Linked DNA regions of Alligator mississippiensis. The protein of the gene in region 1 interacts with the protein of each later gene in a biochemical or structural test. Links are inferred from orthologs where the notes say so. Each region holds a gene or a part of one and is shown on either strand. Other genes may lie near its edges.

Region 1 (10,262 bases):
CATGAGTTTTAGAAATATAATGATATTGTTTCTAACTGTTGTGTTCTTCAAACACAATGGGAGAACTGAAAGTCAAACTTAAATTCCTTCTGACCTGTCTGTTCTCATCAGTAATAAGAAGTTCTTTAACTGAAACTTAGTTTTCAATACTATTTATTAAGCAGAGACCAAGAAAATCCAGCCAGATTTCAAATCTATACTATCTCTACAAGAAAAAACGAATAGTATGGAGTAAGGTTTTTTTGCCCTCAATACATGCAGGTATGTCTCAGTATACATCTGTTGAACAAGGTGTCATTTTCAGACGGTGACCATAACTGTACATTAAAATGACATCTTGCACCAGAAAATAAGAAGTTTACATACTGTGATGAAGATATTTTCTAAAATGGTAAATATATTTCAGGTTGGTGTTTTAACAGTGCACCGCTTACAACATCATCAGCTAAGAATGCATTTATACACTAAGCAATTAAATCACTTCACTACACAAAAGGACATGTCATCACTTCTAAGACCAAACATGTTAAGTTCCTAACAGTTCATAGTAACACCAAAGAACCATTGAAAAATACTATAGCCAAATTAAATTGGTCTAACTACCTCCATTGCTGCAGCTGACCAAGTAGGAATTCACCCAGGATAGTCCTACAAACACTGGTATGATTATTTAATAGCCAGAAACAGTCAGGACCTTGTTTTATGTACAGTATTGCCTCCAATATTGCAATACTTTACATCAAGTTAAATACTAAATTTATTTGGACTGTATTCCGAGACAACACTGCTACATTCTGAACCATAACCTGAGTATTTCTGGAAGGTCTCCCTTAAAATTAGAAGAGCCACCTTCATATACTGCAAACTAACAAAGATGGATGAAGTGATTAAAATAAAAAGGTTGCATGAGTGCAGACTAAAAAAAAACCAGATCCTTCCCAACTCTTTCTCTGAGTGGTCATCTACTCCATCCTTATCTTATACCCAGCAGGACCTTTTATACCCGAATCATTCCTTACAAGTGCGTCTCCAGATCAAATGTCAAGTTCCTTGTCATAATAAGAATAGTTAATTGCAAGTATGTAGCCAATGCATTATAAATACTATAAATCAGAAGATACCCAATATATTCTTTATTCCTAAGAAGGCATCTCTGCCTAATACTTATATTTTATGGATTAATGAAACTTCCCTTCAGCCTTGTAACTGTAATAAGCAAAGGGTCTGGAAAAAAAAAAAAAAAAAAAAGAGACGCACACATTTGTTGCCCACAGAACAGAGTAAAGTAGCCAACATTTTTAAGAGTTTGGAAAAAAAATATCCGTGGGAGTCTTACTACTCCCCACCCAATCCTCAGCACTAATTAAAAAAAAAAAATCAAAACAAGTATATAAAAAGCAGAGCCCCAGCACCATGCCTAAAATGAAAGACGATATTCTAAGATTGCTATGTGACAGAAGCAAAGGATATTACTGTGCAATAGAAGCAAGGAAGAACCTGAAGAGAAAAAAAAAACTCCATGTTCCCAGAAGTTAAAGCTTTGGCAAGGTCAGAAAAGACACAGGCTACTAATAGTGCTATTCTCCTAACAAGCCAAACAGGGTTACAAGCATCATTCATTGCTGAAGAGTTCCTGGGCCACTAAGGGACAAAATAAAAAAATAAATAAATAAAAAAAAATAAAAAAAAAATTAGCTAGTCATGTCTACTGACAACAAAAGGAAGATATGGGATTGCAATGCGAAGGCAGAAGTCTACAATGCCTTCACTGCCCGAAATTCAGACACCTTTAATTCACCGGTGTACAGTGTCAGAGGTACCCGACATGTTCTTAGTTTAAATCTGTGTACCAGACTTCCTTCAGCAGTTGTGCGGGGACAAGAAAAGGCTAAGAGTTAAGAGCATCTAGCACTGCATTTCTAAAAGCATCCCTAATTAGGAACAAAAGAAACCAAGCAGAGCTAGCCTTAATATGTTAGAAGGGAAATCCCAGTTAAGCTGGTCACCACAATTTGGGATAGAGGGATCGACATGCATCACTTCACATATGTAAATTAGCAAGTAACTGAGGCTTTTTTTTCTGACTACAATTACCCCTAATATTTATCTGCATATGAAGGTTACAAAAATTCATACACATGCATATTTTAAGTATTTCTAAGAAACCCAATTCGGGTCCAAGCAGTAAGCGATTTTCCCCTTCTTCCTTTAAATATTTAGTTTTGGGGCTTCACGTTATCTATATAATGGAAAAATTGTTTAAGAACCGAGTAACTAAATCACCACAATCCTGTTACATACACACACTTACACCATTTCATTTTATTCATATGCACAGGTACCAAGAGATGGGTACACACTAATATTCACATGCAAGACAAAGAACAGGTTGCAAAGCAGGTAGACACACAAACAGTATCCAAAACAGTATGGCAGGGAAGGCAAGAACCTAGGCTCATAAAAACAGTGCTGCCCCAAAGGTGTGGGGGGCCAGTTCAGTGACCTTTCCAGAGTGAGGGAAGAATGAGTTCAAGGCACCTTCACACACCTGGGCCATGGTCCTCCCCCCGTCTCCACCCTCCATCAATCAGGGGACAGAGCTCTTCATGTAACTCACCGTGTAACAGTGACACATGGATGTAGAGGCAGGTAATAATAGTCCCTTGAACAATACCACCCACCAGTTGGGGGGGGGGGGGGAGAAGAGGTGCAACCTATATGCTACCCTGTAATAGATCCTCCCCCCACCCCCAAAAGAAAGAAAGAAAAAGCCCCTGCCACCCATAAAACTCCTCCAACCCTCCCCACCACAATGAACAGCGGACTGGTGAACTTTCTGAAGTGATGCCCTCTCCTTTGCTGCCATTGCCTTGGCTGTCTTTTATAGTTTTTTTCTGAAGCTGAAAATAAAAGTTAAAGCCCCACCCAGCCAGGTGAAAGTTAAAGCCATTCAAAGAAATAAAAGCCTGGGCTTAAAATGGATGCAGCAGAATCTTTTAAAGAGCAACATGTTGCAACCACCTTTCATGCGAGGGAAGGGAGGGAATGACTGGCAGGCTGGGAGCCGGGGAGCCGAGGGGGGCGGCTGCAGCAAAAGCAGCTCGAGGAAGGGGGAGGGGGGCCGATTTAGCCTAAAAAAATAATCGCCTTCCCCCCCAGGAAGAAGGGTGCGAGGGCAGGAGGGGGCCACTTGGCCCGGGTTCCTCGGCAGGAGGCTGGTTCCCAGCGGCGAAGGGAAGGAGGAGAAGGAGAGAAAAAGACACACGCACAGGAGAGAGAGGAGAGGAGAAAAAGAAAATGGCGCAGAGACTAAGTCCCGACCGTCGACAAGGCGACTTTCCAGGGAGGAATCGGGGCCCAAGGGGAGCCCCGGGGACGAGATGGGGGCCGGGGCGGGGGCCGGGGGGCCGCCCCTGGCGGGGGAGCGGGCGGGCGGGGGCCCCGGCGGCAGCAGGCGGCAGCACTGGGCGGCTCGATGGGAACAATGGGGCCGGTGAGCGAGCAGCCGGGACTTAGTCTCTGGGACGCCATGTCTGGCCGTGCCCGAGCTGGGCCGCGGGGGCCGCGGGGCCGGGGCGGACTCACCGTTGGCTCGGAAATCCGCCTCGATCTGCGGGGGGAAGCGGAGACAAGCGACAATGGGTTACGGCGGCGCCGGCGGCTCCATGTCGGCTGCGTTTCACAAGGGAGCAGCCCCCCCCACCCCATCCGCGGCCCGGTCGGGGGGTCCCCCCCACCCTCCAAACCCGCACAGGGAGGGGAGGAAACCCCCAGCGCCCTCCCCGTGGCGTGGCTAGGCCCGGGGCCCGGCGGGGAAGGGCCCGGCCGAGGGCAGTGGGGAAGGGCCGGCGGGGACGCCCGCCCCGCGGTGCCCGAGGGGGGTCACCTGGGAGTCGTTGTGCAGCTGGTCTCCGCTCATGCCGGCCGCTGTGTGGGGAGGCCGCGGGAGAGCTGAGGCGCCTGGGAGCAGTGGAGTCGGCGGCCACAGCGCAGCCCCTCGCTCCGCAGCCGCTTGTGTAACAGACTAAGTCCTTATTTGCCCTCAGTGCGCAGGCGCCGCGGCTTTTAAAGCGGGGGTGGGAGGGAGGAACGGGCGCCAAGATTTGCATGCGGGCCCCGCCCACCCGCGCGCGGGACGCCGGGTAAGGCTCGCGCCAGGCTCCGCCCCCTTTACGAAAAATGCCGGCTGAGTTCTCGGTGTACCCTACCCCCACCCTAGAACGCCGGCTTTATTTACATATCCGGTCCCACCTCTTCCTGCCCTTCCTCCAATCGCCGAGGCGATGCGGGCTCTCATTTGCATATTCGGACACGCCCTGGCGCAGGAAGGCGCCTACCGCCCTGCAGCACATTGTGTAAGAGCCGGCCTCAACCGGCGCTGAATACGCATGCGCAACGTCTCCCCGCCGGGGGTTCTCTATTTGCATACGGGGCCCCGCCCTGGTTCTTCAAGCTCCGCCCTCTTGGGCTGTCAGCTGCTTGTGTGAGTGGCATGAAAGGGGCAAAGGCAGGATGCAGCGGCCTGCGTTCTTCTCCCTGCCTGCCAGGTCGGGCAGGGCAGCGTGCGGGGCATAGGCGCAGCAGGGGGAGGGGGCAGGTGGGAAAGGGCACTAGCTCTGCAGCCCCAGCCCAAGAGCAGGGGGCAGGGGTAGAGGTAGAAGTAGAGAGGTGGGGGCAGGGGCAGGGCCAGGAAGTGAAGGCAGGTGACAGGTTGAACACATTCCTCACATCTCTACTTTCACCTTCTCTAGCTTCCCCTTAAATGAGTCTATACCTGGGCTTGCTGCAGAGACAGCAGTGACACGGACCAGACATCCAGCCATGATCCCGGTGTCAGCGGTAATGTGTTTAGGCTCAGGTTAATTGACTTCATCAGAAGGATTGTAAATTCCTTGGGGCAGGGACTGTCACTAACTGTATGTTGATCAAGCCCCACATCATCTCTTTGTCTTCACCTGCTATATTAGGGGTTAAAATAATAGACTTTTCCGCATGTGGATAAGTTTCTTGTAAGTAGTGTTTGTTTATATTATGGTGGCATCTATGTAACCTAATCCTCATTTGCAACCCTTCATTTTATTCAACCACAGGCCCAATTATAGCAGAGTATATCATTAGCATAGCCATAACAATATAGGATCTTGATTGTTTGTCTCAGTGTTTCATTTTTTTCCCATTTTTCCTCTCAGCTGTAACTTCTCATGTCTTATGAACCTGATTCTCTGTTTCCTTGTATTGGTTTTGCACCAGTCATGCCACTAACGGTAAGTGAGTCACGTTAATGTCAAACTGGTGGAAGAAGGTAGAGAATCAGGTCCTCTCACTTGTAATTTGATGATGAATATTTAACGTTGGAAGTTTATTGTGGTGGGAAATATAGCCTTTCTGTAGGACACATGCACAGAGTGAGTAGATGGTCAAGCTGGTATCATCATTATTACTATTACTACTACTACTAACAACAATAATATTGTTAAACCCACAGTCAGCATTAAAGGCTATGTTCTCGATGCTGTACAAACAAACACAATGCTAAGAAATAGAGCAGAGATGGAGATGGGGTAGACATGTGCTGGTCTTTAAGACAAAGGTAATAATCACCAGTGCTTCATAAGTTAGAAGTTTTCATTGTAAATTCAGAACAGCCCAAAGATTTTTTTCCTAGTGTAGACATGCCCTTTAACCTAATTTCCAGCAAGGAAATTGAGGGAGAACAGGGATTTTTTAATTTTTTCCCCCTTTAGCTACATCTTGTACCTTCTTTTAAAAAAATCCTAAGGACATCTGCTTCTGTTCTGCAACTGTTAATTGTCTGTACCAAAGGAGCTTTCTCTCTGGTCTACTGAATGGACAAGTTTAATATGTATAGCTAGTACAATATCTCAGAGGACCGCCTTGTCTTCCATCACAAGTTCCATGCAGTACTACAACATGAAGTATATCTTTTCCCTGCTCCTTTATACTACTGGAGCCTTGACTTGATATGAAAATAATCCTGTGCTACCAGGCTAAATGAAGAGCTCAAAAAAAGCACACGAATGTGAGCAGGCAGCATCAGTCACCTTTTGCATGTTATATTTATAGTTCTGTAAGGGTAAAACACTTGTCATTCTCTTACACCCTTCAGAAGAGGATCTGAGGACTTCCTTTTTACCCACAGCCCCCAAGTATTTCTGGCTCTAAATCTGTTTATTATGCAAAATGCTTTACTAACAGATAGGTTTTTAAATAAGTCTTGTCAAGGGATTGCATTGTGTCTCAGAGACATCTACACTGTTGCTTGCAGAAAATCTTCTCTGACAGAAGTAGCAAGGGCCTGTGCTACTGAAGTACAAGGATTTGAATTCTGCTCTGCAGCTCCCATATTCTGAGCACCTGTGGTGGGACTAGAATGATAACCAGGAAGTCCTAAGTATCCACTTATTTGTTACCGTATTTACCTTTTGTCACAGCAGGACAGTATGGGGTGTTTAGTTCCCACAGCATTGGCTATAGTGAAAATCTCTAAATACATGTCTTTTTGAAGAAGCAGTATCATTTCGTATAAGAAAATAGAGTGAGAATCAGTCTTATGCTTCCTGAAGTTATAGCTATTTCATTAATTCCCCCTTATACCCTATGGCCGGATCTCCGAGGCGGCTTCAAAGCTTCAGGGCCACTTCAGCTGGATCAAAGTGGAAACCTGGCCTGGAGCTGCAGATCGGATCCCTGGCATCCGAAGCTGCTGGATCCAAAGCCGGATCGAATAGCTGCCTACTTGCACAGGCCTAACACACACACACACACACACACACACACACACACACACACACACACACACGTGTGCGCACATGCTTGTGAGCGTGTGCGCGCACACTTGTGAGTGCACACACACATGCACGCACACATACTTGTGAGCGCGTGCACACTCACACACTTGTGAGCAGCCTGCACTCATAGTGGCGCTCTCCACCCACCCCGCCTTGGCCAATCCCTACCCTAGGCAGGAGGAGGAATGCCTAGCCCAGCCTGGCCCCCTGCCTCCAGCCGCTGCTGAGAAGGAGTTGAGCCAGGCAGTGTGAGCCTGCCTGGCGCACCATGCTACTCCACCTTGCCACTGGATTGTGCCCTGTGCCACAGCCTGCCCGACTGTGCCTGCAACAGTTCTGCTGACTTGTGGGGGTGTTGGGGTGGGCACCAAAATACAAGTTCACTCCAGGTGCCATTTTCTATAAGGCTGGCTCTGGGAGCATCTTCCAAGAAGGGCCAAGCAGGATAGCTGAGCACCAGCGGGAGCTAATCCCAAGGACCATGTTGGAGATTTATTTTGAACCTCTGGAAAATCTCCTGGGAGGCTTCCCAGTTATTCTGGTGCCTCAACTACTTTATGAGTGAAATTTGAAGGAATATTACACCTTTTTCTCCCTCAGCTGAACCTTCTTGTGCCATCAGGGGGAGGCAGGATTGGAATAAAACATCATTCAGAAGATATGTATAAGCATATCAGACTGAAATGCTTTTGCAGCTGCTTCTGCTGCAGCAAGTTTCAGAGAAAACTCACAATTTTTTGGTGCCCTTCTAGATTCTATAGACAGCACCAGGGGAGTCCGGCAGTTTTTAGCTGATGTAACTTTCTGTCTTAATCAGAAGCACAGTTGCAAGCATGCCTTTTACCCTAATAACTGGAGGAATATTTGGCTATCTTGCATTCAAAATTTTCATCCTCCTTGCAGTGGAACATCTTTCCAAAAAAAAAAAAGAAATCCAGTCCAGGACATGAGTCCATTTTAATTGGATGTCTCAGTTGCAGAGGCCAGCAGAGAGGGTGTGATGAGGGTCAGTTAACTAGCAAGACAGTTCACACCCCATAAAGATAAATGCTGGAAGTTCACACTTCTTGGAGCTATTGTTTCAGTCTGTCTGCTGACTCAACAGGTCGGCAGAGCATCCTAAGATCATTTAAATAAAACTAAGGTGATAGGTTTGAAAAGAAATAGCTGGAATATTTTACATGAAATAATAAATCCCAATGAATACCATAATAAATCAGTAAAAAGCCCTAAAATCTTCAGACCAGTTGAATTTCTACTCACTTAGCTCCTAAGTACTTTGATACCTTTTCCTTTTGCCAGTCTTCAAGAGCTCTACTCAGACACAAAATAAAGATCTTATTAGAATCTTGTTTTAAAGAAAGCTGTTGGGGATGCTGCGGTTCCATCTCCCTCTTTTAACTGTTGGGTCAAATGAAGGGTCAAATCCTGTTATCAGGGCCAGCTCAAGTTAATTGGTGTACTCGGAGGAGCTGCAAAAAGTCTTTTCCCAAGCCAGGTTTGTGGCTGCTTGGTGATCTCAGGGCAGTAGTAGTAGCCTCCATTTCTGCTGTACCTCTGTCCGGGTGAGAAACAGTGTCCCCATATCTGACCCTTCTTCATGGCAGAATCATCATCCTTCTAATGTGCTCAGGGATCTTTGCAGTTGCACAGGGAGGGGCAGGTTTGTCAAATGTACAAATACAGTCAGAAGGACATGCTGTGGCTTTGAGCCCTCCACCTAAGCAGGACCGGTGCAGAATGAATACACTACAGTGGACTACCTTAGATAGATTATCTCCATCGGATATGTGCCTGCAGGTGCCTAAAGCCACACAAGGCACTGTCACCTGTCAAAGAAAATGGAGAACACTATACACCATACTCCTCAATTAGTAGTTGTGGGGAGCACTCACCTTCAGATAACATATATTATCACTAGCAGCACGCACCCAATGGGAAACCTTGGGGACAAGATCAAAATAAGGGCAGATGGGGTCAAAATAAGGAGTGCCCAGGTACTGCATGTAACAGTCTCCTCTCCTGTACCTCTGTACCCTGTACTTGAAAGGGACTGCAATAGTGTAGCAGCTGTTTCCCCTGCTCAGGGATCTCAGTACATGCTGTTACAATTGATGGTAATTCATTATTTAAAGTGGGTCAACCAGCACTGTAGGGGAGTGAATATAGTAGCACTGTAGTCTAGTGTTTCAGGCCTAAAAATCAGATGGTAACGATAAAAGCAAAGATGTAGGTAGCAGTGACCCAAAGTTCTGAATCAGCAACCTGAAAATTAAACCACCCATGTATTTATGTCACCTGGCATAAAATAATTCTACAGTAATTCCAGAATTACTTATCTTTTGGATTACATTTATTTCTATATATAATGCTACTAGATTTTACATTTTAATAGATATAATTCCTTGCCATTTTAGATTATAAAGCCATGGATCCAGATCCTTGACACTGTAGTCAGAGAGAAAAAAGTGTGCATGTATGTGTGAATATGCAAAATTATATGTGCGTACATGTGTATATGTATGGTGTTGTCACCTCTGCTGCTTTTGTAGAAAATCCTATAACTGGGGTTCTTTTCCCCCTTTCTTAGAGACCCCCGCTACTAGAATCAAGAGATTTCAGGACAATTTCAGGTTTCAGCTGAAGGAAAAACTAAATTTCTAGCCTTTGTAGTTCTGAAGCAAGTGCAGCATAAAGTCTTAGAAAAATAAAATACAAAGAAAGGATCCTGAAGATATGCACAAACAAAATGTACTGATTTTTAAAGACTGTGTTATCATTTTGAGGGTGGGATCATGATTCTTAGATGTCTGGGTTTGGCAATGCTGTAGGTATATTTCCAGCCTTCAGGTTTTTGTGTCCAGACATACCTGCATGATTTCCTGGATTCCACATCAGTGTAAATATGTGTAACCAAACAACTTTTTGAAAAGTGAAAACCCAGATCAATAATTGCCTCCATTTGTTTTTTTTCCAAGATAACCTGCTGAGAAACAGTCATGCCAATTATACTGATCTGTATTTTGTTGTTATATTATATTTTGAAACAAAATGATCTCCACACTACTGAAAGCTTATTTTCCACCTTGATAAATTGCAGCAATTATTCATGGCTTAATATGTAGCATGCAGGAGCAGATCCAGCACAACTAGCAGTTCCATTGTGAGTGGTAACTTTCAAAGGCCAGTTTTAATTACTGAGTTTCATCCAGGAAGGGAGAGGTTTGTAATCATGGGTAATTACTAGTTAGGGAACAATAGCTGATATTGGCTGTGACTACATTATGAGAAAGTTTACATTTGATGCCATAGTTTATTATCGTTATTGAAACAAGGAGTCATATGGAAAGGATGGTACCTAAACACAGGAGAAGAATGAAGCCAAGAAACTTTGAATTGTCTTTAATCCAAAAATGACATGTATCATTTCATATGGTTAGAAGCCATTTAATA
Region 2 (9,983 bases), on another chromosome or scaffold:
TCAGTCCCGGGCACTGAGGATGTCTCCCCAGCCCACACGGGCAGCCCCCCTGCTATTCTAGCCCCGGACCTCCCTCTGCCCCTCACTCCCGACCCGCAGCTCCCTGCCCCCCGAACTGGCAGCGCTTTAAGGAATACATCGCTGGCAAAGAGCATCTGAGCATGACAGCCTCAGGCCCCTGGGGAGCTCTCCAAATCAACCCCACATGGGCCAACCCCTGAGATCACAGGAGCTGGGCCAGCTGCCCATGCCACAGCTGGGTTACCCAGAGACGGGGGCCACGGCTGCCTCGCATCCCAGCCAGGAAGCTCCGGATACATTTCATGCCACTTGCAAGGAATGGCTTTATACACCTGCACATCTGGGCCACTGTTTCCCAGTCCCTGCTCCTGTCTGGCTGGTACGGGGGTGGCTGTTTCAGAGGCTGCAGGCACAGGTTGCCCCATAAATCCCTATGCATCATCTTTATAGACAGGCCATTGTGTTTTAGGACTCGGGCAGCTTTGGAATAAACCGTGGCACTTGGCGGCATGAGTTATTGCTGCTGGGCCAGCTCCCAGCGGAGGATTTACCCTGGCACAGAGCAGGGCTGACGGTGCTGCAGCCTTTTGTCACCATCTAGTGGGAGCATCGAGTGCAGATGCAGCCCTCCGCCGGGTGGATGTACCTGCCAGGGGTGGGTGCCATCGACTTGGTGTGATGGGTCACACATCACGGAGCTTGCTGGGGCACCGAGCCCAGCCCCACATCAGGCAATCCCCCTTATAAAGACATCACCCTAAATGCAACGGACTTTTTACCCCATGACACCCTATGGGATGCTATCCCAGAACCCGGGCCTTTCTTCCTCTGTAATTCCTAGCCTCCGGGCCAGTTTAACCTGCTGTGTGCTGGGGCCAGCAGCATCCCTCATAGCTCTTTTGCCTCCCATCATCTTGCACTGGCTTCTGCATCCTAGATGGCACCTGCTCAGGACACGGATGACATGCCCGGCAATGGTGCTTGGAGGCACGGTGCTTAGTCCACGGTCCCGATTGCCCATGGAGATCAAAGATCCCTTTTAAACGAGGAGGGTGCAAGCTGGAGGACGGTGGGGAGAACCTGGATCCTGTTCTTGGATCTGCCACAGACACACGTGACCTTGGTCAAGTCCCTTTGTCTCTCTGAGCCACTGTTTTCATGTGTAGCACAGGGAGAGGCAGCACCTCCCGCGGTTGCAGCAGGGACAAGCCCAAGGCCTCCTCCCACTACATAGGGGTGTGGAAGGTGTGTATCTCTAGCTACAGACCAGGCTAGAGCATAAACTCAGGGGTCCTGCAGTTCACAAGCTCATTGTCCCATTAAGTACCCGTGAAGTACTCAGAATAGCACTCCCCCATCCCAACAATAGTGTCTAATTCAAGCTAATTGCCATTCAAGCAGCATGTGTAGTCCCTCCTGTTTTGATGTGAGGCAAAGCCTGGGGCAGTCAGCCCTGGGATAAACCCGCTGCTTTTATCCAGCGTCATAGGCACACACACGGCATCCAACCGAGAAACCTTGCAGTCTAATGAACTGACTGTGGGCCTGGACCCAGAACACCTGAACGGCCACTGCTTCCCTCAACGGCCTTCGGTAAATGCCTTTGCCTGTCTGTGCCTCAGTTTCCCTGGGGGCCAGCCGAGCAGTCACTGCTCTGTGTCCACCGCACAGGACCCGGAGGACAGCTGACTGCTCACCTATGCAGTGCCAGGGAGAAGTGATGCCTTTCAAAGCACTGGGGGGTTTTGCTGCCGGGGGATCTGAAAGGTGGCCCTGCATGAGCTAAGATGCAGGGGAAGGGCCCCCGGTTCACCTGCCAGGCCCTTGGCCAGGCTGGAGATGAGTCCGGGCATGACGTTAGCAGTCCCTCGACTGAGGATGATCTCTGACACAACTCATGGATGGGGCTTGAGGTGACTGAAGAGTCCAGGGCTTGAGCCGCAGATCCTGCAGGTTTTCTGCAGGGGAGAGTAGGCTGCCGGCTGGGATTGCTCTCCCTTTCCTTCCTCCGTTCTCTCTTCTCTGCTTCAAGGGCAAGACGCTTTACCTCGAAACCGGCTGCTGCTTGGTTGAGGTTGTGGCACCGCTGGGGCTGCATCACAGCCTGCTCCTGCCAGCTCTTGATGTCGACATCCGTCCTCTCGAGGTGGGCACGACATGACCGCGGTCCTGAGCCCTTGCGGCGTGGGCCCGGGGCTGCTAGAGGCAGGGCAATTTGCAGACTCAAGGTCCCCTCGCCAGACTCAAGGCACCCTTCAAGCTTGATTTCCGAGTGCTGAAAAGCTTTCTTTTTGACTGCTGAAAAAATACCGTTTCATATTTCACCGACAAGCACCTGCCGGGAAAAGCATTCTGTCTTTTTACTGCTCTGTGAAACATGAAACGGCACAACCCGAAAGAAATACGACTGCCTCCTGCTTGCCCCCAGATAACTTTGAGGCAAACAGACTATTCCAACGTTTCTCTGAGCCTAACCTGCATAAAATGAACGGTGCCAAACCGGAGATTTTACCACACCTTTAACTCTCCTAGGAAATATGAACTTTCATTTCTACCTGGGAGAATTTGACAGTCTTTTCTCCGATGCCTGAGGACGGGTGTTTGTGCCCGTAAACTTGCAAGGAAAGGAATTTTTTTTGTAAAAAAAATCTAGTTGGTCTAATAAAAGATATCGCCTCTACGAGTCCTGATTGCCTCTAGACCAATACGGCTACAACCTGGATACCTTGCCTACACGTGCACCAAGATGCCCTCTCAGGCTAAGGTGATTCATGAGTCGCCGCATGAAGGCCGAGGGCAATTTTAGTCCCCAAGCACATGGCACAGCCCCTCTTCCAAGCAGCCCGTGAGTGAATAACTGACTGAGGACACAGTCTCCCCACCTAGCCCGGCCCCCCTCTCCGGCTGCCACCCTGCTCCTATGGGGAGCATGGGGTCTCCATGGTTTGGGGGTTTTTTGCAATATCTTAGCTGGTCTAATAAAAGGTATTATCTCTGAACTAAGAGCTCTAGAGTTTTGCACATCTATATATGCCAGTAACGAGTCATTGTCCCCTGGCAGGGGTCATGTGGATGTACAAATGCTGGGGCAGGTGCCGGCAGAACCAGCCACCAAAGCAGCCTGGGGAAGCCAAGGCCTTGCTATGCTCTGCTCTGCAAGGGCAGGTGTAACTTGGAGGCAGGGGCTGGGCTATAGAGTTGCTCCAGGTGTGGACACATCATCCTTTTACTGGGTAGGGCCTAGATTCACCTTCTCCCACTAGCAGAATCTACCAAGAGCAAGAGCTGCTAGAAGCACGAAAGCCTTCACCCCTCCCCTCCGTGGGCCATGGGGACCACCTCTATGGCATTTTGGTCAAAAAAACCCCAAAGCCTGCTTGCATGATTTCTAAATTAGCCATTCTGAACGCAACCCGCACCATTGGGAAATCCCCACTGGCAGCCATGGAAACTCCAGCTCTTTGCTGACTTTTCTGATATTTGCAAGACAAAGCAGATGCAATCTGCGTGCTCCTATCACGCTGCCTTTACTGTATTGTTTTGGGGTTAGGCGGTTACACAGCCGGCTTCCAGCACACTGCGTGGTACGGAGGACGCATCTCAGATTGCAGGCAGACTAGCATGTCCACACACCCAATTTTACAGAAAATGAATTGATGTGAACTACCCAGAGCAGGTTTGCTAGTGATCGATACGGCTTAATAAAGCAGGTTACAGATTGACACAGCGGGTTTGTTAGAGATTAAAGAGATTAGACGGTTAAAATAAAACTACTGCTAAGTGAGAGTAAAATTTCACAGCATTTGAAGGAGGGACTGTCTCTTACTATGAGCATATAGAGGCCCTGCACAACCGCTCTTTGATCTGGGTTGTTCCCCAGGTAGTAGCAATTAATAGCTTTTGTGTTGTCAGCCAACACTTGTGGGATTCCCATGGGCTGCTCCGGGAGCCGGGTGTGTTTTCCATAAACATGTGGTAGCAAAGGGCATTTACTAGATCAAAGACTCCTCTCTGGGTTTTTTTGGCTATCTGAACCCAGGACTCTTCCGCATTAATTGCCATTGGAGGTGAGCAGGACTCGCGCCAGACCCGTCTTCCTGGAGGAAGAGGCAAAAATAAAAGGAAGAATAAGAGGAGTAGAGACGGAAGGAAATCATGAACGAGAGGGGTGGGAAAGGAGGAGGGAAAACAGATCTTTTATTCCTAAATTTTTATCAAGCAAAAGGAAAAAATGTATCTATACCAACGAAATCTGACCCCTTCCTCCCCCAAAGTGCCAAGATGCTATGAACAGGCCATGTTCTTTGGGTAGATGCGAGATCTGTTATTAGACCGACTAAATAGTTGGAAAAATTGCTCTTTGCGAGCTTTTGGGCACAAACACCCTTCTTCAGGCATATATAGACTCTGCCGGTGAATTGTGCTATGACTTCTCTTATGAACATCACTATAGCAGCTGATTTTACATAGAAGGGATTTAGCTCCTATGGTGCTGGGCGGCAGGATAAATCCCTGCGGAGGGCTCATCCGCACAAGCCGCTCCCGAAGAAGTCAGTAATGGTACCTGGCTACTCCGTCCAGGATCACGCCTGGCAGAAGGCAGGGCTGAGTTCAGCCTTGGAGAAGCTTTCACAACCAGCAGCCCACTTCTCCAAGTGCTACAAAAGCCCCTTTATAGCAACTGGTTAGTCTGTAAGGTGCACCTCCCCCCCCGTTCAGACTGCGGACGGCGACCCCCTCCCTGCGCGGAGCCGTCCAGGGAAACCTTCGCACTTTCAAATCACGTCCCCTCCACGATTCGCAGGGAGAGCGAGCCCTCATCCGTGTGCGCCTGTGTGTGTACGTATCTACACCTACGTGTGTCCCCCACGTAGTTAACACACACATACACTCATATAGATGCACATGCACACTCATCTATATATATATATATATGCACATGAACACACACATACACACACACACGCATCAAAACACGGGCAGAGAAGGTTCCTTGGGTGAATTTGATCTTTTATTAGACCAATATGCATCAACACACACATCTACACACACGCATCAACATATACACACACACATCTACACACACGCAACATATGCACACATGCATCTATACACATATACACATGTATACACACACACCTACATGTATTATACACATGTACATACATCTACATACATATCTACACACGCATATACACGTACACGTGTGCATCTATAGACATGCATGAATGCGCACACACATACACATGCACGCATCTATACAGGCACACACGAATGCACACGCACGCACACACACACATGTGCAGACAAGGTTCTTTGGGCACACGCTGTTAGCCCCACTCCAACAGCTCCCCGCGTCTACACGTCCCCATCTGGAAGCTGCACACAGACGTGTCTATTTCGGGGTATCTATCTGTTCCAGGCACAGCCCCGGGGCGGAGACACCTGCACACACACGTACACCCCTCCCCCCACGGACAGTGTCAGGGCCCAGGCGCGCGCAGCCCCCCCCGCTCGACCCGGCCCAGCCCAGCACCCCCAACCCAAGGCCCAACCCCACGTGGTCCCGCAGGCGCCACGTGCTCGGCCCCTTCCCCAACCCCCACGCCCCGCCCAATCAGCGCGCGGGAGCCTAACATCGCGCCCCGCCATTGGCTACCTCTCCCCCCCTCAGCACTTCCCTAGAACGCGCTTCCCCATTGGCCGGCGCCGGAAGCCGCGCGGATTGGCTCGGCTCCGTCCGGGGGGAGCTGTGCCGATTGGGCGCCGACCCTGCGCGGGGGCGGGCCGGGCCGCGGCGCGGGCTGCGATTGGCTCCAGCGGGGCGCGGAGGGCGGGGCGAAAGGCGGAGGTGGGGAGGGGCGCGGGGACGCCGCGCTCACTCCGTCGTTGCAGGCCGAGGCGCCAGTCGCAGCCTCCCGCGCCGCCGCCATCATGGTCAAGCTCGCCAAGGTGAGGCCCGGCCTAGCCTGGCCCTGCGCCCGCGCCCGGCCCCGGGGAGGAGAAGCGAAGGGGGAAGCGGGGGGGGGGGGGAGCAAGACCGCGGTTGGGGGGGCGCGGCCACGTGGTGTCCCCGCGCACGTGGCCCCCCCCCCCGGCCGGGCCTCGTGGTGTGGGCCGCAGGGTGGGGGGGGGCGGGAAACTGCACCTTGGAGACTGACTGGAGCAGGGCACACGTGTTGGGGGGGCAGCCACGTGGGGGGATGGGGCCTAGCCTGGGGGAGGGGGGCAAATTTATCCCGAAATTGGAGGGGGGGGGGAAGGCAGACGCGCCTGACGCGCCGGCTCCTTTCCCGTCTCTCAGAACGCGAAGAATCAAGTCAAGCAGAAGAAAGCTGCTCCTGCGCCGCTGCCGCCGCCCAAAAACGTGGACGACAGCGAGGAAGAGGAGTCCTCCGAGGAGGAAGAGAGCAGCAGCGAGGAGGAGGTGATCGCCCTTCTCTCCCGCGACTCGAGTCGCTTCATCCTTCCCAAAACGGGGAGGGGGCCTTAATCCTTCCCTAAACCAAGCGGGGGGGGGGCACTTAATCCTTTCCTAAACTGGGTGGGGGGAGGGGGTGGCAGAAGCAAAGAGCCATTATTTGAAGAGGGGTATTTTGGGTCTTGCTGAATAACCTTATGGGGGGGGGGCGGGGGGGTCACCTTTTTGGCTGCTTGGTTCCAAAATGCATTTAGTCCGTGGTACTTGCGGGGCCCGGATGTGGTCTGCCGGCAACGGATTGAGCATCTCTGGTGTAGCCTTTTGTATCCGTCCTCCATAAAGTTGGGTGCCTTAATTATCCTCCCCTCCCCCCCCCCCCAAGTTTTGCAGAGCATCACAGAGGACACTGTTCATAGCCACCTTGCTGACAGCTCTGAAAATTGGCACGTCCAGGACACGATTTGTCCCGGAGTTACCGTGTTACGGGAATGAACAGGCGTGATGATACAACGCGCGCAAACGTAGCGTGCGTGTTCCTAATCCGCGCGCAAATGAAGGGTAGCTGTTAACGGGCAGAGTGGCTCGGCCCTTGGGCAGGAAAGGCCAAACCTCCAGCTTATTAGAGGCCCCGGCACATGGTCTCATTTGTGGGTTGTGACTTCGGTAGCTGACAGTTTGAAACCAGCTTTCTGAAGCACGTGTAGGAGTTGCTTAATCATTCCTCGCTCGGTGTTCCCCTCTCTAAGGTGGTGGTTCCTCAGAAGAAAGTAGTTGTGAAAGCAGCAGGCACACCTGGCAAAAAAGCAGCTGCAGCTGCCTCTCCTGGAAAAAAGCCTGCCCCTCCTGCTAAGAAGGTAGCGACTCCACCGGTGAAGAAGGCTGCTGCTCCGGCCAAAGGAGCGAAAAATGGAAAAAATGCCAAGAAAGAGGAGAGCGAGGAAGAAGAAGATGATGACAGCGAGGGGGATGAAGAGGACTCTGGTAAGACAACAGTCATGCAGTTCTCAACCTTTTTACTCTCAAGCCACCTTCCGTAACTCTTAGGAATTGAGCGGCATCCCATTCAGAAACTAATTTCTTTATTGCAGTGCTTACCACCTGGCAGACGGCGCAGGCAGGCGTAGATTCATAGATTGGAAGGGGCTTCGCAAGATCGAGTCCAGCCCCCCTGCCTTAGGCAGGAAAGACGACTGGAATCAAGAACAGGAGGTGGAGCCTGCCCTTAGCTGCTTCTCTCCTCTCACTTTCTGCAGTGCCTCAGGGTGCCTGGGCACACTGGTTGGGCATCGCCAGTCTATCAGTAGTTTGGCTATCTTCAACGAGTACACTAAGATGGTCCAGTCCAGCTGCTTGTGCATTTTCCATCGCAGCTCTGTTGTGCAGTTCAGCACATCTAGTAGTCAAGTGGCACAGGTCTGGCGTAGCATCAAGATGGGGGCAGTGAAAGAAAGATAGGCAAGCTTAATGTTGGAGCTGTATGGAAGCACATGGCATTGGCTCTGTCAGTATTTACGTGATGCTTAAACTGACGATTAGCCCTCTGTTTCCAGAGCTTCTAACTGGACCCAAGTTGGTGAGATGTTAAAGTTTCAGTCAAGGCTGTAGTAACAATAACGTGCTCGGTTGTAGTTTGCAGAACACTGAGTAATTGGCTGTTGTTACAGATGAGTCCGAGGAGGAGGAGGAAGTCCCAGTGCCTGTGAAGCTTGCAGCCAAAAAACCTGTAGCTGTACCCGCCAAAAAACCAGTCGCTGTCCCAGCGAAGCAAGAGTCTGATGAGGAGGAAGATGACGAGGAGGATGACGATGAAGAGGATGGTATGTAGGCTGCGCTTGGTGTGACAGGGCTGAGATGAGGAGCACATGGTTTGAATTGGCATGACTTGCTAAGAGGGTGCCAAAAGACTCCTTAACTTCACATTTTTAAAGGCAACTGCTTATTTGTCCCATTTAGGTCTAAACTAGTGTTTATAGGGCTGCAAGAGCTTAGTGATGGAGCGGTTAACATGTTACTAGTGGGTTTGGAGCACTTATTTCCTGTTGGCGCTTGCAGAGCTTCTTACCATTGGATGGTAGGACTTACGATATCATGGGTGGCACTTAGAGGCGCCCAGCCAAAATTGGTTTGTGCTAGGTATCATGGAGATGCATTAAGAGTTCTTTTTTTTAGAGCTCACAGGCTTAAATGAACAAGATGAGTTGACTGTCCCATTCCCCTCAAAGGGGATTGACGTGAAGTCTCCTTGGTATTGCACAAAATTGCAGCTTGTGTTCTAACATCTCTTATCACTTCAGACTCTGACGAGGAGGAGGCCATGGACATCACCCCAGTGCAAGTGAAAAAAGTAGCTCTAGTGAAGGCAGCTGCTGCTGCAATAGCCAAGGCAGATTCTGAAGAGGAGGATGATGAGGAGGACGATGATGATGATGATGAAGATGACGATGAGGAGGATGATGACGACGATGAAGAGGATGAGGGGGGAAGTGAGTTGAACGTAGCTGTGTATGAATTTGTGCTGTGCAGTAGCACACTGCTGTCTTCTAGAGCAGTTACCATTCGTGAGCAAGTTGTGTCGGAAGTCCTTGATTTGCATAAAACTGGAACTGATGAGAAGTGTTTGAAATGATGATGTGATGGAAATCACACATGAGCGTTTCTCAAGATAGTCAAGTACTGATCCAGTTTGAAAGACTGGTTGTTACTGGTGCCTTAAACCTTGGTTTTTATTTCAACATCTTCCTGTCTTTTCCTCTGTTCCATAGAGCCTGTGAAGGAAGCATCTGGGAAACGAAAGAAAGAAATGGCCAATCAAAAGAGTGCCCCAGAAGTCAAGAAAAAGAAAACAACTGAAGGTAGGTTAGAGAAGCAGCAGTCTGAAAAAGCTTCCTGAGTCTCCAGCTTAGCCTTTAAAGCACTTCTCAAGTGTGAAACCCTGCTGGATGGGGAGTTTGTGCAAAGGCTTTGACTGCTGGGGGGCTGTCAGCACAGGTGATGAGTACTAGGGACTTAATACTGAAGCCTGATGTCAGGTTTTTTTAAAATCTGATGTGCTGAAGTCTGGTGCAGTCAGTGAGTTACAACAGGGTTGCATTTAAGCCGTACAACTTTAGTGTGTGCGTGTTTTTATTTATTTTTTTTATTTTTATTTTTTTTAAGAAAATGCTGAAGCTTTCTCCCTCTTCGTTGGAAATCTGGACCCCAACAAGGACCTGGAGGAACTGAAGACTGGCGTCAAGGATTTCTTTGGCAAGAAGAACCTAACAGTCTTGCAAGTCAGAATCGGCCCGTCCAAGTAAGTTCTCTGCTAAACCTCTGCCTGCTGATGTTTGGAGTGGTGAATATAAATTGCAGGTGTACTTGGTTAGCAGATGAACGTGTAATGAAAGAGGAATAGTTGGACAGCGTGCAAAACTGCCTGAGAAGGTGTGGTTGATCAAAGAGGTGGGGTTTCCCCTGCAACGCATGTTAATTTATTTGATTGTCACTGCCTCCTAGTCCCGTGGCTTTTCTCTAAGCATACCTGTCAGGCAGAGTAAAGAGC

Evidence for each region. The genes of interacting proteins can lie anywhere in the genome.
Region 2: the proteins of TOP1 (region 1) and NCL form a complex in vitro, tested with the Homo sapiens proteins (2 studies listed by BioGRID and IntAct). The link is inferred for Alligator mississippiensis from reciprocal best matches to the Homo sapiens genes TOP1 and NCL.

Annotation. Positions count from the first base shown.
Region 1 is NC_081832.1:17,919,085-17,929,346, forward strand, and holds the start of TOP1 (DNA topoisomerase 1), read right to left. Parts: upstream 4,048-10,262; 5' UTR 3,920-4,047; coding exon 3,887-3,919; intron 3,611-3,886; coding exon 3,586-3,610; intron 1-3,585. UniProt on the Homo sapiens protein: Releases the supercoiling and torsional tension of DNA introduced during the DNA replication and transcription by transiently cleaving and rejoining one strand of the DNA duplex.
Region 2 is NC_081830.1:85,136,407-85,146,389, forward strand, and holds the start of NCL (nucleolin), read left to right. Parts: upstream 1-5,863; 5' UTR 5,864-5,955; coding exon 5,956-5,973; intron 5,974-6,325; coding exon 6,326-6,448; intron 6,449-7,188; coding exon 7,189-7,423; intron 7,424-8,106; coding exon 8,107-8,259; intron 8,260-8,736; coding exon 8,737-8,925; intron 8,926-9,204; coding exon 9,205-9,294; intron 9,295-9,423; exon of another isoform or gene 9,424-9,493; intron 9,494-9,598; coding exon 9,599-9,734; intron 9,735-9,983. UniProt on the Homo sapiens protein: Nucleolin is the major nucleolar protein of growing eukaryotic cells. It is found associated with intranucleolar chromatin and pre-ribosomal particles. It induces chromatin decondensation by binding to histone H1.